Linked DNA regions of Schizosaccharomyces pombe. The gene in region 4 interacts genetically with the main gene of each other region. Each region holds a gene or a part of one and is shown on either strand. Other genes may lie near its edges. The genes, in order: suc22, spd1, srs2 and rad3.

The links.
Region 1: of rad3 (region 4) and suc22, extra expression of one rescues a mutant of the other (dosage rescue), as found in Schizosaccharomyces pombe (3 studies listed by BioGRID, with this or other methods).
Region 2: of rad3 (region 4) and spd1, a mutation in one rescues a mutant of the other (synthetic rescue), as found in Schizosaccharomyces pombe (4 studies listed by BioGRID).
Region 3: mutations in rad3 (region 4) and srs2 impair growth when combined (synthetic growth defect), as found in Schizosaccharomyces pombe (3 studies listed by BioGRID, with this or other methods).

What each region holds. Positions count from the first base shown.
Region 1 is NC_003423.3:3,719,803-3,723,591, reverse strand, and holds suc22 (ribonucleotide reductase small subunit Suc22), read right to left. Parts: upstream 1,970-3,789; 5' UTR 1,838-1,969; coding exon 662-1,837; 3' UTR 520-661; downstream 1-519. Other genes in the region: trm1 (mitochondrial tRNA (guanine-N2-)-methyltransferase Trm1.1), read right to left, coding at 1-209; MCM complex subunit Mcm7, read left to right, coding at 3,672-3,789. UniProt on the Schizosaccharomyces pombe protein: Provides the precursors necessary for DNA synthesis. Catalyzes the biosynthesis of deoxyribonucleotides from the corresponding ribonucleotides.
Region 2 is NC_003424.3:5,410,650-5,413,756, forward strand, and holds spd1 (ribonucleotide reductase (RNR) inhibitor), read left to right. Parts: upstream 1-1,793; 5' UTR 1,794-1,839; coding exon 1,840-2,214; 3' UTR 2,215-2,570; downstream 2,571-3,107. Other genes in the region: histone lysine H3-K36 methyltransferase Set2, read right to left, coding at 1-165. UniProt on the Schizosaccharomyces pombe protein: Regulates the ribonucleotide reductase activity through its mediation of the nuclear localization of suc22, the small subunit of the ribonucleotide reductase. Delays the progression of the G1-S phase transition, thereby ensuring the G1 phase is complete.
Region 3 is NC_003424.3:3,830,258-3,836,242, forward strand, and holds srs2 (UvrD subfamily ATP-dependent DNA helicase), read left to right. Parts: upstream 1-2,021; 5' UTR 2,022-2,517; coding exon 2,518-2,879; intron 2,880-2,944; coding exon 2,945-3,209; intron 3,210-3,229; exon of another isoform or gene 3,230-3,254; coding exon 3,255-3,685; exon of another isoform or gene 3,686-3,730; coding exon 3,731-5,336; 3' UTR 5,337-5,369; coding exon of another isoform or gene 5,370-5,415; 3' UTR 5,416-5,461; downstream 5,462-5,985. Other genes in the region: SPOM_SPAC4H3.04C (uncharacterized protein), read right to left, coding at 813-1,426, 1,518-1,699, 1,759-1,892; SPOM_SPAC4H3.16 (uncharacterized protein), read right to left, coding at 5,370-5,415, 5,462-5,669, 5,710-5,779. UniProt on the Schizosaccharomyces pombe protein: ATP-dependent DNA helicase involved in DNA repair at least for UV-induced lesions. Also aids the recombinational repair of camptothecin-induced collapsed replication forks.
Region 4 is NC_003423.3:902,438-907,212, forward strand, and holds the start of rad3 (ATR checkpoint kinase Rad3), read left to right. Parts: upstream 1-1,746; 5' UTR 1,747-1,927; coding exon 1,928-4,775. Other genes in the region: SPOM_SPBC216.03 (uncharacterized protein), read left to right, coding at 1-248; peptide-methionine (R)-S-oxide reductase Mxr2, read right to left, coding at 719-1,135. UniProt on the Schizosaccharomyces pombe protein: Serine/threonine kinase which activates checkpoint signaling upon genotoxic stresses. Involved in G2 arrest following DNA damage where it phosphorylates chk1.

The DNA.
Region 1 (3,789 bases), 2.8 Mb from region 4:
GTTTCCGACCAAGCACGAATAGCTGTAACGCTTAAATCTCTATTAAATTGTTGTACGGGGTTATAAAAGACTTCATTCGGATTTGAAAATGGTATAATTGCACTACCCTCGGTCAAACTTGCAGAAGCCCCCGACATCATGGCGGTTGAGAAGTGATTCACAGCATTTGAGATCCTTTGACTTAATCTTAGCATATTGGCTTCATACATTTAATACGAATTAAAGAAAAATAATCGTTAAAAAAAAAGAAAGTATTGATTATTTTTGAGAGTAAATTTGCAGTAATTCATTAAAAAAATACGAGATGTGATAAGTCAACCATAAATCGAATTACAAAGTATTGTATAATACATGTAATCTTGTAGGTTTAGGTAATTGACAATAAGGATAATAAGTAAATGGTCTTTTAGTCTATGACTGGAAAATAACTTTTCTTAGACGTAGTAAATTAATGAAAAAGAGAAAAGAACTTGAATAGAAATACTTCAGAAATTAGAACTTCGTCATTACATTCACTGAAGTAGCCATTTAGATTTGTAAAGTATAGAGTAACGAAAATCTAATTAAACATATTAATTTATTATTGCTAAATAGGTTATCAGTAATCAATAATATTTTTTTTTTGCTTTAACTTATCTAAAAACCAAAAATAACTAGTCATCTAAAAGTCCTCATCGATTGTAAATGTATGATCATCCTTCTCAGCGCGCTTGGTACCCGACATAACGCCAGCAATTTGGTAGTCAGAAACTTTCTTTTCAAAGAAATTTGTTTTTCCTGCTAAAGAGATATTCTCCATGAAATCGAAAGGATTGGTTACGTTATAGTACTTGTCATTGCCCAAAGCAACCAACAAACGATCAGCAACAAATTCAATATACTGACACATCAAATCCTTATTCATACCAAGCAGACTAACGGGAAGAGCGTCCGTGAAGTATTCTTTCTCAATATCAACAGCTTCAACAATAATGGCTTCAACAACCTTGCGGCCTGGTCTGTGCTTCAAATGACTAAACATCAAACAGGCAAAGTCGGTGTGAAGACCCTCATCACGACAAATCAATTCATTGGAAAAAGTAAGACCAGGCATAAGTCCACGTTTCTTAAGCCAAAAAATAGAGGCAAACGATCCAGAAAAGAAGATACCTTCTACAGCAGCAAAGGCAACCAAACGAATTGCATAGGTGGAATCTTCATCATTAATCCAACGAAGAGCCCACTTGGCTTTGGCCTTAATAGAACCCATTGTTAAAATAGCATCGAAATGACGCTGTTTTTCCTTAGGTTCACGAATGTATGTATCAAGCAAAAGTGAGTAGGTCTCAGAGTGAATATTTTCAATCATAATTTGGAAACCATAAACACAACGAGCTTCAGGGATCTGAACTTCAGAGCTGAAACGCTCGAGAAGATTCTCATTAACAATACCATCTGACGCAGCGAAATAGGCGAGTACAGTGGAAATAAAGTAACGTTCATCAGCATTTAACTTGTTATCCCAATCAACCAAGTCTTTCGAAAGATCAATTTCCTCAGCAGTCCAAAAAGATGCTTCAGCCTTCTTGTAGAATTGCCAAATTTCGTGATACTTAATTGGAAACAAAACAAAGCGGTGAGGATTAGGGCGAAGCACAACTTCATCAAGCTCATCTTCCTTTTTGCCCAAGTAGTAGTCGCCTCCTTCCTGTTTCTCTTCTTCACTTACATTATCAAAGTTAAAGGTTTCTTTAATAGATTTAACATAAATTTTACGAACACCTTGTTCGCTATCATACTCGACTTCTTCACCATGTTCCTTAGGATAACTGAATTCTTCGAGATGCTCAAGGCCCATTTTGTAAGATTAATAATGAGATTTCGTCCAAACTGACCGGATTTATCTGTATATAGAATAAGTACAAAAGTTTTCTTCCACCGCGATTATCTCTTGCGATGTGGCTTCCCAAGATGTGTTGTGGTTAATGGCAAAACTTTCAAAGGTAGGTTATCCAATGTAGTGCACAGTATTGTAGTATATTCAACACCACCGTTTTTTTTGTGGATGTTAATTTGTCGCACTTTGGGTATGATAACACAATGAATAAGAGTGAAGGCAAAATAGACAAAATGCTGCCTTATTTTACAGAGTGGAAAATTGCAGTTAAACTAAGTCAAAGGCTGATGGAGATGAATAACGTTGAAAAAAAACAATGTACTAATTAATATTTGGAGACAAACGCAACGAGTAAAAAAAATGAAATAAATTCGAAGACAATCTCAAATTAAATGGGAAAAGCAAGGGCTTACTTCCTTTCCCTTCTGGTGTGTTATAATAACGGTTTCTTAAAGCAGGAAATTGTAGCTAGTTAATAGAAAAATGTGATAGCTTAAATCGAAGAATTCGATGCTAAGCGTGGAGTCGAATAAATTCAATTATTTAGGCTCAAATAATTGAAAAAATAGAAATGAATTTATTACTTTATGTAATAAATAAATTATTAAATTTCTCACTTTTTGTTATAATTTAATAAAGTAGTTTTCAGTGTAATACTTAAGACGCGTCAGGGTACCTCAATTTATGTTGTAGATGAAACGCAATGATATCAGCCTAGTAGTACGATATGATGTTAGAAATAAATATCTCTTCACAATCTCCTTTTCATCCGAGATGTAGAGCGCTTTATAACTGCTCAAATATTACAAATCACGAAACTTCTAATGCGACGCGACCGTACATAAAGACATTGCTTAATTAAAAAAAGATAAGCGCGACAGAGACCTAGCCACATACTGTGAATAATTTTAATACCTTGATCCTTTCGTAAAAAAAAAAAGAAATACTTATATTCGTCTATTGTAAACAGAAAATAAATAAGCATTCCAATAGCACGTTTCTATTGCGTGTTGTGCTTTTAGGTACAGTTTACAATGTGGTATAAAACAATAAAGAATTTTCTATATTCATTCTTCACTGATGTTTGAAATAACCGAACAAAAAATAAAAAGTTCCCTACTCGAAGTTTTTATATTGTTGATATCGCATTTCTTTTGAGAATTTCCCTGCTAACTTACTTCATAAGTTTTCAAAAAAATTTTTAAAAATAAAAGTGAAATAAATTTTAGGCAGTAGTCTAAATAACTCTCATGTTTAGAAATACAAAACGTGTAGAAGAAAAATAGGAAAAATTATGGATAGCTAAAATAACAATCGATTGAAGCAATGAAAACAATTAGACATACATTTATGAAAATAAAATGACCAATTTATTGTCTGGCAAAATGATTATTATTAATTTAAAACAAATAAACTGTTTATTTATACATAGTGAATACTCTCCAAAAAAAATTTCTAACAGTACTACATAGTGGCTTTTAAAATCAAACTGAATGTTTACTTTTGCTGCGAGAGTAATAAATTAAAAAGGAAATATGTAGAGAATCAAAAAAATTATACACTGCAATTTCTTTAGAGTCAATGACAATTTGTATATGCCCTAAGTTACAATATTTACATTTTTGTTACCTTACGAGTTCGCGTTGATTCATACTACCAACTAACTAAAACAACCTAAAGAAGAACCTTTCTTGGTATCTTACCCTTACTTAATACCCTTGCTTTCTTTTTGAACCTTTATATTTTTTGCTAATTCAGCAGAAAAGTTTTGGGATACTTTTTTGGTTTGAAAAGCATGGCACTTCCCACCATAGATTTAAAAATCCCAGAGTATGAAGAATGTCAACATAAAATTACGGATTTTCTATCCCACTTCAAGCAGGAACAGGTTCAAGATGGACAACAAAATCAGG
Region 2 (3,107 bases), on a different chromosome or scaffold from region 4:
CATCCCTTCGGCATCCTCTTTACTTTCGAAATCATGAGATGACGAAGAAGATGGTGATGAACCGACTGCCTGGACAGCGATTGTGTCTTTTGACCAAGAAGACTTCCTATCAACGTTTTCCTCATTCAAAGGAGTTAAAACAGAAAGAGATGATGCCGTCTGCATTGTATGATAATGGACAAAAAGAAAGAGAAAGTTAAAAAATCTACAGTTTTATTGAACAAAAAGTAATTGCCGAAGGAAGCCAAAACAATAGAAAGAAGACCAGCTGAAATTTCACCGAAAATCTTCTTTTTAGAAAATTTCCGAAAATATCTCGATGCGTAACATATAGATCTTCTAACGTTTCAAAGTTTCGTGTCAAAGAAACAGTGAGATCAGGAAATTGTCTCAAGGAAGAAGTTGTGGCTGTTGGCGGCGTTCCTTCTTTACTCGCGGAATCCTCGTAGGGGCTCACAGTACCGGAGTGTAAACGACAACTCTTGACTTTAGTGTTAAATATTAAAGAAACCTATTAAAAGAAAAGGCTTTAAAATCTTTACTTTCATTTCATTCAAGCATCTACAAAAAATCACCATCACGCGCAACATTTGAATGCCATTCTTTTCCAGAAATTCCATAATAGTTGTTGAAGAAATAACACTGTTAGTGTAATAAAATTCACTCTGTTTTTTACACTCGGCGCCTTATGTAGCGAATATCTTTGAATTAATAATATCAATCATACTATGTAACTGTAGTAGGTTGTTTATCCAAAAAACATATGGTACGCAAAGATAGACACTAATTATCAACAATGAATGAATAAGAAAAGCTTTTTCAACGAATATTTTGAGTGAGGCAGTCAGCGTGCTCATACTGGATAGACCCAGAACAAGTAAGTTTACAATATGTTCAATTTACAAATCCAAGCATGTGGTATTGAATTATATTTGGTATTCTTTTTGTTCCCTTGGTCTTATTAATGTAAAATCATCATCTACCTGCATCTATTGAAGCAGTAATTAAACAGAAGTTTGAGAATCGGTAAAGAAAGAAACTAGGAATGTATGTAATAAAGTCATTTTATTTTGAAAATGCTCATCCTGTTAATTCTAGGTAGATTCTTTATTTCTTCAAACCCAACCACTTTTGTTAATATTGTTTAAACACATAATATATACATTGGCGAAATTGAAATAATGCTAAAATTTTGTCAGAGCATTAGTCATTGTTAATTTTAAAAAGCTATTAAACAAAAATAAAGGCTAAGAAAAAAAGATAAACCTATTCCATATGTTTATATATGTGTATCTTATCTTAAAAGGTCTTTAACTCAAGCTATACTTACTACAATCTATATGCAGCTACTTGTCCTTCATGGCACGACGGTGCCAGTAAAGTTAATAAGAAAACCATACCGAACAGGGGCCAAGTTACGATGAGACAACATGTGAAGAACAAAGGAAGAAGCGATTTCAAGCTTTGCAAAAGGTTTGACCAAATTTAACGAACAAACGTTTCAGCTGTTACCTTGAAAGCAGTTGGCAATAAAAGAGAAAGCGAATTTAATTGCTTTAAATGTTTTACTTTAACTCTTAGATATAAAGAGTGCGGAAAAAGTGGCAGAACCACAAGAAAACAAGATCTCAATCGCAAAAGCAATAAAACTGCAATTCCAAATTTTGTAGATTTTCTACCATTTATGAATAACGTGGGTTAGTGAAATGTAAAGAGATCCGTGTTCGATAGGCATTCCCCAGACAAATTTGACTGCTTTAAACGTCACAAAGCCGAGTAGCAAACGCTCCCACAACCAAACACTACACAAAGGTTCGTCGACAATTTATTTTGGAAAAAATGCACAGCAGCAAGCGAGTTATGACCACAAAGACTCATGTTGAGCAGCCTGAGTCTTCAATGCGTCCTCAGCTTCCCGAAAGCATTCAAGGCTCCTTAATGGACGTGGGAATGCGGGTTCGTAAATCAATTTCCACCGGATACAAGTCGAAACAAACCACGTTTCCTGCCTATAACCCACCGCTTTACAACACTGTTTCTGAAAACATTGCTTTAAAAAATACCGCATTTTCTTATGAGCCTAACGGTACTAAGCGTCCATTCGAGCAAGCAATTCCTAATTATAACTGGGCCAATCCTCCTCAAGACTTTGAAGAACCGGAATGGTTGAAGCCGTTTGACGTTGTCATGGAGGGTACCAATGAGAGATTATAAGCTAAATGTGAATCTCGTATATCTCTTCTTTAAGGATAATTTGACACCAATCCTCATAGTTCCAATTATTCCTTCGTTCATTAGTCTTTGACTTTGTTGATTCCCTATACCATTAATACATTTTATTATTGGTTTTGTGAGTGACGGCTAAGTGATTTTCTACTAATTAAACCCCCTCTTCTTTTGGGCATTTGTCTCTCCTTGTTAATTAAACTCTTTACATCTATGAATGATCTAGTCATATCTTTTTTTATTTTATCTTATTTGCTTATCGTTTTCTGCTTGACCAACTTATAATGGATTACTTTGTTGTCGTTGAATATCTGAATAGTAATTTTTTTCTAATACGTACATAATTTTTTGAAAGACTCATTCCTCGTATTTCCTCAGTAAATGTCACTTTTTTGGTGTACATGTAGATCGACCAAAGTAACCTGTTGCGGGCGACTTTTGTAACTTGTTATTTCTACTTTAAATCTTTTTCTTTTATGATGTTAGGGCGTTGGTAGGGGTTGTAACGTAAAAGGAAACAATTTTTGATATTTTCTCTACGGCATGTGAAAAGTATTACCCAACATGCCACGGAATTCTACGCTGTTTCAGTAATAAAATTTTATTATTATTATTATTATTATTTTTTTTTTGAAAAGATGTAATAAAATGCTTATATTTATAGATTACAAAGAGACAGTAATAACGTTACTCAGCTAACTAAAAAAGTGCAAACTAAACAGCGAATATGGCAAAAAACAGTCATATTTAAAAAAAAAATAATAATTTGAGAGGGAAAAATGGAATAATTTATTTAAAAACAAAAGATACCATAAAATCAATTAATCTACACATAAAATTTACAACTAGGATGTTATTTTGATAAAGTTTGTTGTAAATTT
Region 3 (5,985 bases), on a different chromosome or scaffold from region 4:
AATATTAATTCTTTGTATACTATCTTGAGAATCAGTAATCTCAGGGCTGAGAAAATACTCTGCCGGTAGACACTATACGGTACTTCTTAAACGTTTAAATAAAAGTAATTTATACAACAAATGTCTACGGCCATACCTAGGCGAAAACACCAGTTCCCGTCCGATCACTGCAGTTAAGCGTCTGAGGGCCTCGTTAGTACTATGGTTGGAGACAACATGGGAATCCGGGGTGCTGTAGGCTTCCTTTTATTCATTTTTTTTTTGTTTGTTTTTGTGTTAATTTATTGTTAAACATGAAATTTTTGTATTGAAATTTTGTCTTGAACTCGTTGAGGCTGTATAATTTTCAAGCAAAGCTGGAAAGCATACTAGTTTAGAAGGTTATGCACATGCATGAATTGACTTTGATAATATAATAATGTTTTCGTTACTAATCGTGTAAAAGAAATTTGTTCAGAATATCAAAAACAGTAGTTTTATACATAGTAGAAAGATTTAAAAATTGATTAATTCTCAAGAGAGACCAATTGATACATACAGAAAACAAAAAAATTATATAAATGGAAAAGGGTATGTTTCGTAAATGTTGCAATTGAGAAATAAAGCGCATTTCATTTATCGTAATTTGCCTAGATCAGAAAAAGCATTGCAAAATTAGCCTCCTGAGTATGAATCTGATGATAATAACTAACAAACACAGGTTGCATAATACATGTTCCGATAATTTTCGGCTCTCAAATACTTAAATATATGATCGTTTCGCATCAGCCGTTTCAAGTCATGAAAAAAATAATAATAAAATATCAACAATACTATGCGGTTGCGGTTGCATAGCTAACGCTGCTATCGGTGACCAATTCAACATGGCTACTTTGAGCGTACGAAATAAACTTGAATCTTTCAGAGAAATTGGCGCATTCCATAGATTTCATAATGAGTTCTATAGGGTAACGGCCGCATATGGTGTTTTGAGTGGTTTTCAAATACTCTGAAAAGTCATCACTACTTTTCGTTTCAATAATTTTCATACCAATATGATCCAAATTAGATATAGACTCATAAATTTTGGGACTAGTGGGGCCACCTCGTCTTTTGTATTTTAAGACTGCATCCTCTAATTGATTCGTATCGTTCAAATAAAGGGTATATCCAAATCTTCTTCCCCAATGACAAAAATCGGAAGATATAACAAATGAATTTGATTCATCTTTAATATACTGACTCAGAAATTTCGCTGCTGCCATCATTGTGGTTGAAGTTAAGGCACCTATCATGATAGGAACAATTTTGACTTTTCCCAAGCATCCTTGTTTCAGCAAATGAAAAGCTAAAAGAGGGAATTGCATTTCGAGGCTATGTTCACTTTCATCCACATCCAAGGTCATTGAGTCGAAGCTGTTATCGCTAGCGACGAGTTTCTGACATACTATATAAATTTCCAGTTAGCAAATAATCTGTGCTGAGAAATAGACAGTAGCAATTTAGTAAAACTACTAAGCAAAACTGTTTTCACATACAGTCTTCATCCACTTTCAAATCACCTAAAGGTGTTGAGCAGATGCTAGCTCGACTGACTAGGCATTTTCTAGTAAAGATGTGATGAGAAGGCCCAAAAACAAAAACTCTCTGAATTTTCGAAAAGTCCAATTGCTGAAATCCTTGGGATGCGACTTTCCCACTATACATGTAACCAGCATGTCTGCTCAATATTTAGCTATATACTGAATATCACATAAATTATAAGTTGTCTATACGTACGGTGAAATGACAAACCGTTTCCCAGTCTCGGGCGTTGGGTTTTTGATAAATGATTTTAATTGCTTAGTTAGTAATTCTGTATCATCCAAATACCAAGATCCTGCATGAGTTGCTTCACGAATGGCTTGTGACATGAGATAAATTGAAGAATAATATTGATACGTTCAAATTGTAATTCGGTTTGTGATGTTCGTTTGACAATGGGTATTATTTTCTGAACAACACACTGTTACATATATCTTGCTTTCTTGCCTTCATCATTTGCGTTTTGCTGCACTAACACCACTTTTGGGAGGTCGAAACACAAGACTAAGACAATCGCAAAATCAGGTTTTCACACAATAAAATCATTACTTAAGAATACTGAATTGAAAGGCTTTCATTTGTTATACGTTCACGATTTACTCAAATTTCTTGTAGTAAAAACAGGTGGATTAAAATCTTTTTCGTATCCGTGTATCAGCCCTTTCGCGCTGGTAGGTCAATCGAGAATACTAAGAAATTGCAAGTGTTGTTTTCAACTAAATAAGGGTTGATCTTCTAAATTATTTCACCTATGCTATGCTTTCGTTAAAATAATAAGTATTTGTTAATTTTCTTAGTTTGACGTGTCATCGTTTCACAATTTAATATTTATTACCCGACAACTCATCGGAAAAGACCGTGTTTGGCCAAAAATCTTTGCATTGTTTTCCTATTTCTCACTTTTTTAAAATATACATTTGAAGCTGTCGGTTGAGTGTTTTGTTCTTCTCAATTATGGAAACGAAATCATCATACTTGAAGTTTCTGAATGAAGAACAAAGGATTAGTGTTCAGAGTCCTCATAAGTATACTCAAATTTTAGCCGGTCCTGGGTCTGGAAAAACCCGTGTTCTTACCGCTCGAGTAGCCTATTTACTTCAAAAGAACCATATTGCAGCCGAAGATTTAATTATAGCCACCTTTACGAACAAAGCCGCAAATGAAATAAAGCTCAGAATTGAAGCTATTTTGGGGAATAGTGAAGCCTCTAAGCTTATTTCTGGGACGTTTCATTCTATAGCGTACAAGTATTTGGTTAAATATGGCAAGCATATAGGGCTATCCTCAAATTGGTTGATTGCTGACAGAAATGATACGTATGTCTTGTTTACACTTTTCTAACTTTTACTTCTCCACTTTCAACCATTGCTGATCTATTTAGTCAAGCTATTATGAAGCGACTTTTAGACTCTCTCAAGAAAGCTAAAAATCCGATTGCTTCTGGTATTAGAGGACAAGAATTGACTCCTCAGAATGCTCTAAATCGCATAACTAAATTAAAGTCCAACGGTCTTCTTGTTAAACCTGGAATGGATCAGTTGAGTTTGATTAATGGTCTGGAAGAACCACCTAAAGAGCTTCAAAGCCATCAATCTGTTGAATTGTATAGACTTTATCAAACTTCCTTATGGAAGAACAATTTAGCGGTACGTAACAAGCATAAAGTTGTATGTATATATCTAACTATTTAGGATTTTGATGATTTGCTTTTAAACTTTATTTTATTACTTCAAAAGCAACCAGATTGTGTGAGGAATATAAAACATATTTTAATCGATGAATTTCAAGATACTAGCAAAATCCAATATTTTCTTGTTAAGCTTTTGGCATTGCAAAATTCAGATATCACGATTGTTGGCGATCCCGATCAATCAATCTATGGATTTCGAAGTGCTGAAATTAGGAACTTAAACCAAATGTCTGAAGACTTTGAAGGTACCCAAGTGCTTCATTTGGAAAGAAATTACCGTTCAGCTAAACCTATACTTGAATTAGCACTGTCTATCATTTCACAGGACAAAAGCAGGCCTAAGAAGGGGCTCAAAAGTAATCACATCTCTTCCTTAAAGCCTCATTACCGATTGTTTGAAACTAACAATAAAGAATCTTACTGGATCGCAAGGTTCGTATGGCTTCATTGCATGAAAGTTTACTAACGATTCTTTAGAGAAATTAAACGTATAGTAGGTTCTTGTCCAGAGCTTATATTTTATAACGATATCGCAATCCTTGTAAGGTCCTCCAGCCTTACAAGAAGTTTAGAACATGCACTTTCCGAACTTGGTGTGCCCTACCGCATGGTTGGAGTTAACAAGTTTTTTGATAGAGAAGAGATTCGAGACTTAATAGCTTACTTGAGAGTCCTAGCTAACAAAGATTCGACTTCTTTAATTCGTGTCATCAATGTCCCTCCTAGAAATATTGGCAAAACAAAAATCGACCGTATTATTTTCGAAAGTGAAAGAAGAGGATTGACCTTTTGGCAAACTTTAAATGAAGTAAAGAATGAAAATATTTTACTTTCTCAAAGAAATGACAAGAGTTTTCTAAAGTCTTTAAAGTCTTTTCTTTGTTCAATCTCCAAACTTGAAAATCGTTACTTGTCTAATGGGCACTCAGCAACTCTTAGTGATTTACTTTTGGGAATACTTTCTGAGATTAAATATTACGAATACCTGGTTCGGAAAAATAAAGAAACTGTCGAAGAAAAATGGGAAAATGTAATGGAGCTTGTACAACAAAGCGATAACATATCTTGTATATTCTATGAATTAGATTACAAAATATCAACAATTGTTCTATTGCAGAATTTTTTGACTCAAATCGCTCTTGTGAATGAAGAACAGAAAGAGGGCGAATCTCAGAAGGTTACCATTTCAACCCTTCACGCAGCTAAGGGTTTAGAGTGGCCTGTTGTATTTTTACCTTGTCTTTGTGAAAATATTATCCCTCATTCTCGTTCAGACGACCTCGACGAGGAAAGAAGGCTGCTATATGTCGGTGCCACACGTGCACAGGCGCTACTGTATCTATCTTCCTTTAAAAGCGTCACTGGAATGTTTGCAGATATGCAGAACTCAGACAATGTACAGGACGTCAGTCCATTTTTAAAAGGAGAAGAAATGAAAAGATGGGTGATGGAAAGTGAAATAGTTTTTAATGAAAAGATTGCTTCTGAAATTGGAACCATATTGGGTCGGAAATCTTATGGGAAAATAACTAATTTAAGCGGTATTGGTTCAAATGCAAATCATAACGGAACTAAATTCGAAAACTTGGGCTTCCAATGCTGTCGTGTTCTAGCTGAGGCAGAATTGAAAAAGAGAGAACGAGTCAAAAGTGTCAATGACTATAATAAAGATGAAACAAATTTTAGAAAACATAATGCCAAGAGATCGAAAACCGATATACGAAGTTGGTTTGAGAAAAAACAACCAATCGATTCAGATGTAGAGATTTCTGAGCCGTCAAGGTCCGCAAGCATAATGGTTGCAAATAAAGATTTAAATGATCGAAGTTTTGAAACTGTCAATCGTATTGTATCGACAAGAGCCTCAACGACAAACGCTTCTTTCATGAGCAGCGTCAGACAAAATCTTGGTAGAGGTCCTTCTACGAAAGATCAGGTAATAAATAGAACGTTGAGGGAAGGTCACCAAGATGTTGTGCAACATACTGACCTTAATCAATCAAATACTAAGGTCGCGAGTGCCCGTCCTGCTGGTTCGAGAAAACGATTGGGTGTAAGGCTACGAGTTTCACGAATGTTATAGTCATATCATGTTGTACAAAATCACGTATTATATTTATAGACAATCTAAACACCTTGCTACGGTGTTTTCTTTAAAATACCTACATATAATGTCAGCTTGAAAATAGATACAGATAATAAACTTACATTAGAGTACTACAGTTTCGACAAATATTTCGTTGGCAGCGATCACATGTAGAAAGATATAATACGTTATCACAAAATTCGCAAACACCGGTAGATGAAGGCAGATGGTCATTGTCAGTAACAAAATTAACCTTTTCATTTAAAACGATAGAAGAGGCATCATGGGCATTACTTTTTTTGCTTGCAAACAAACTAAGAAAAGATCTCACTTAGAAGCTTAGTAAAAAATCGCTAAATTCTTCACTTACTATCCAAATGATTTTTACACTTCTTTCTTGGTAACCTACTAGGAACATGTTCAGAACGACATCTTTTCATAGCTAAATCTCGGATACTTCGAGTTTCAAAAAAATGTGACACGTTGTTCTACCCTCTTAAAGCCTTATCGAGGTGTTGTTTTGTTTTTGTGGAACGCGGACTAGATGGCTAGTGCATGGTCTAATGGACTGTACAGGAATGGTCAAATAGGCGATACTTCTTGTCAAAATATAGCACTAAATGCATTTTTGAACCCTGTATATATT
Region 4 (4,775 bases):
TTGATTGGACGATTTTACGTCCTTCTGGTATGACAGACGAGAAGGGTTCTGGAAAAGTTGCATTGGGTAAGATATCCATAAATTGTATGATGTCTCGTGAAAACGTCGCGCGTACTGTACTACTGTTCGCTCTTGATAATCAGTCCATCCATTTGGTGGTTGACATGACGGATGGAAATGTGCCAATATATAAAGCCATTGCTGGATTCGTCGTAAAAGGAGAATCATCCTATACTTATTCAGTATAATGTAATGACATTTTCGGATCCTTCGCGTATTATTGTAGTCCACGCATCTTTTACTCCTTTCTTAAAATCTTCTGAAAAAAGAACGAAAATTTTTCAATGACCTATGAAGCGTACGCAAATTAATAAATATTTAAGTGAGGGATACTTTAGTTATACCCTTTATAGTTGAAATAAATGGAAGATCATATCAGGTAGTGTAAACATTGTGTTATCGTTTATTAACTTTGGCATAAGCAGCTTAGTTATAACATACGGCTAGTAAATCTAATTTCTGACCTAGAGATTACTACACTCTTTGAAAACAAAATATATTAGTTTAAAATGTTAAAAGTAAATGCATTTTATTGAAGTTAACCAAAACGTGAACAAGCAACTTTAAATAAAATAATAGCCGTACATCAAGCACAAACAATTCGAACTGGTGCTAACATCTAATAAAGAAAATACAGAAATATTAAGCATAATCTAGTTCAATTGTCATTTGTTGCCTCATTATGGAATTCCAAACTCGCCGAATTTATACAATGGCGTTCGTCAGTAGGATTAGAATAACCTTCTCCTTTAAAAATATGGCCTAAATGACCACCACAGTTGGCACAAACTGCTTCTACACGATGCATTCCATAAGAGTTGTCTTCAATGCGTTTCACCTTTCCAGGTAAATTATCGAAAAACGCAGGCCATCCACAATGGCTTTCAAACTTTGTGCTAGCTTTATAAAGAAGCTCTTTACATGCAGCGCAAACAAAAACGCCCTGTTTAGGGAACTGATGAGTGAATCGTCCTGCACCTGGGTGCTCAGTACCCTTTTGTCTCATAATTCGATACTTCTCAGGACCTAGCTCCTTTTTCCATTCATCTTCGCTTTTTTCCAATGGAAATCCCATCTTTGTATTATTTTTGACGTTTTGGACAGGGTAGGAGACGTTATATGCACGTTTCAAAAGATTCGTAAACTTCGTATTTCCACAGATTGAAAAGTGTGTAGTAATCACTTTTTTCATGAAAACACAAGACGATATGTACCACAACTGGCACTACAAAAATTTTCAAGTAAGTAAACGACTTTTTGACCACTATTTATGTGAATAGGTAGGTACCAAGTAAAAACTGCTTAGTAAGTATAAAACACAGAAGAATCCGCGATCTAGTGAACCAATGCCCTGCGTATGACGCTCCACTGACGCTATAGTCAATGAGAACTAGGATGTGCGATTATAACTTATCTTTTCAATATTTTCTTATTATTTATTTAAGAAATAATTGAATTAAAACTCATTTCTTCTTTTATTAGCCGTAAAATAGCTTATTTTCTCTCCTACTACCTTTCAACAATAACTTTTTTTTTTGTTTATTGACCATTATAATCACATCAAAAGTCAAAAAATTCAATCATTATCAGAAACATCCAGCCTAATATTACTTAAAAGTTAGTTTCCTCTGAAAATTCAGTATCACAAAAGCTCGTTAATTAGCATCGCTCGATACTTAGTGCACCATGCATCTTCCTTTACCTCGTGAGTGGAAATCGATTTGATAATCGATTGCCACTTTTCGCATAATTCTATTGAGATATTTTATTACTTACAATCGTCTTTTATAAATGCTCAAGACTTTGAACGCGCGTGTTGCGTTTTAAAAAGGCCTTTTTTTGAATTGAATCAATGGTTTGATATAGTATGAGCCAACACGCAAAAAGGAAAGCTGGGTCACTCGATCTTTCACCCAGAGGCTTAGATGACAGACAGGCTTTCGGACAGCTTTTGAAAGAAGTATTAGCATTAGACAAAGAACATGAGTTAGGTAGAAGTAATTCTTTACCATCTATGACCTCCGAGCTTGTTGAAGTTTTAATTGAAGTTGGTCTTCTAGCTTTTAAACATGATGATTCAAAATCTGAATTTATCTCTCCTAAGATGCTAAAAGAAGCCCATCTCTCTCTACAAGCGTTAATGCTAATCTTAAAAAGGTCTCCGACAGTTTTGCGGGAGATTAAATCATCTGTTACTCTTTTGGATTGGATTTTACCCAGGACTATATCATTGTTTGCTGATATTCGTTTTATTAAGTTATTTGACTCATTAAAAGAGTTTCATAAGCTAATTTATCAGCTAATCAGTGAAAAGTCATTCCTATGGGACTTATATGCTTCGTTTATGCGTTATTGGAAATATTATATTACAAACGTTTCTTCTATAGTTCTCCAAATCACTAATGCTACATTCCCTTACAAGATGCCCTCACCCAATTCTCAACCATTGCAGAGTATCACCCCAAATTATCCAACCCATCGAGAGGACAAATTTGATTTACTTATCATTAATATAGAGGAGGCTTGTACATTTTTCTTTGAAAGTGCCCATTTTTTTGCACAATGCTCATATTTAAAGAAATCCAATTTTCCTAGTCCACCTCTCTTTACAGCGTGGACTTGGATCAAGCCATGTTTTTTTAATTTTGTTATTTTATTAAAACGAATCAGCATCGGAGACTCACAGCTCTTTCTACATTTGCATTCACGTATAGTCCAAACTTTATGCTGTTTTTCCTTGAATTTTATATATCATGGCCTTCCCATTTGTGAAAAATCTAAACATATTTTAATGTCCTCCATCAACTTAACATTGGGATCATTGAAGAAAACTTATACAGTTGCTAATACTGCTATATCTCTTTTTTTTCTCTCTTTATTTGTTTTACCCAAAACTGTAGCTGGTCTATTCTATCCTTTTGGGGTTTCCTTACTTTCTGACTTCAAGGTATTAGAGCAACTTGAACCAGATTCTGATCTCAAAAAGGCAATAATATTATTTAAGTGCAGATACCAAAGTTCAGAAATAGATCAAACAACTCTCCGTGCTTTTGGCGAAATTTGTACTGGTAAACTTGAAAACACGTTGTTTTCTAACTCTGAATTAAACCTTTTTCTTTTACATTATCTTTCCTTGGACAATGACTTGTCAAATATTCTTAAAGTGGATTTCCAGAATGGTCATAACATATGTACATTTGCAAAATGGTGTATAAACAACAACTTAGATGAACCGTCTAATTTAAAGCACTTTCGTGAAATGTTAGATTATTATAGCTCTCATAATGTTACAATAAGTGAGGACGACCTGAAGAACTTCTCTTTAGTTTTGTGTACTCATGTTGCAAAGGTGAATGAGAAAACAAATAGTATTTTCCGCACATATGAAGTACATGGTTGTGAAGTTTGTAACTCATTTTGTTTACTATTTGATGAGCGGTCGCTCTTTAAAATTCCTTATCACGAATTGTTTTGTGCATTGCTAAAAAATCCCGACATAATTTCCTCTTCTGTTAAACAATCATTGTTGCTTGATGGCTTTTTTCGGTGGAGCCAGCATTGCTCAAACTTTAATAAAGAATCAATGTTAAGTTTAAGAGAATTTATTATGAAAGCATTAGCCAGTACTTCAAGATGTTTACGTGTTGTTGCTGCAAAAGTTTTGCCCATTTTCATTAAGGGACCTAATAATCTTGATATAGTTGAATTTCACAAGGAAAGTAAAGCCTTGATTTTTAATACGTTGAAAATATTGGCGGTGGAAAATACAGCTATTTTAGAAACGGTCATTCTTTCCTGGATCTCCTTATCTAGAGTGGTAGAAGAAGAAGAATTACATTTTGTACTATTGGAAGTTATATCTTCTGTGATAAACAGCGGAATATTTTATCAAGGCATTGGTCTCAGCGCTCTGCAACAAATTGCCTCGACGCGTCATATATCCGTTTGGCAATTACTTTCTCCATATTGGCCAACAGTGTCCGTTGCGATTGTCCAAGGTATGGGTAAAAAACCGAACATAGCCAGTTTATTTGCTCAGCTTATGAATATTTCCGAGGGCGATTTTCTTATTCGAACACAGGCGTACACTTTACCATTCCTTGTACTTACTAAAAACAAAGCGTTAATAGTACGTATAGCTGAACTTTCACAAAGTGATGTTGCTACTTTGTGCCTTACCAATATGCATAAAATCCTTGCTTCGCTACTTACTACGGATCATCCTAATTTGGAAGAGAGTGTGATGCTTCTTCTTTCACTGGCCACTTCTGATTTTGAAAAAGTTGATTTAACGTCTTTGTTACGCTCTGATCCTATTTCTATTACTGTGGAGTTGTTACAGCTTTATCAGAATGATGTTCCTCATGAAAAAATTGAAAATGCTTTAAGAAAGGTAGCAATGATTGTCTCTCAAGTGGTTAATGACGAAGACTTGAGCAATAAGGAATTACTTTATGATTTTTTTAATAATCACATTTTGGGTATCTTAGCAGAATTTTCTAATATCCTTAACGACCTGAAAGGAAAGACTTCAATTAATGAAAAGATTAAGACAATTGTCGGCATTGAAAAAATGTTATCTTTATGTGGAGGTGCAGTCAAACTTGGATTACCACAGATACTTTCTAATTTACAAAGTGCTTTTCAAAATGAGCACTTAAGGTTTTATGCAATCAAAGCTTGGTTCAGTTTGATATTAGCAACCAAGGAGCCCG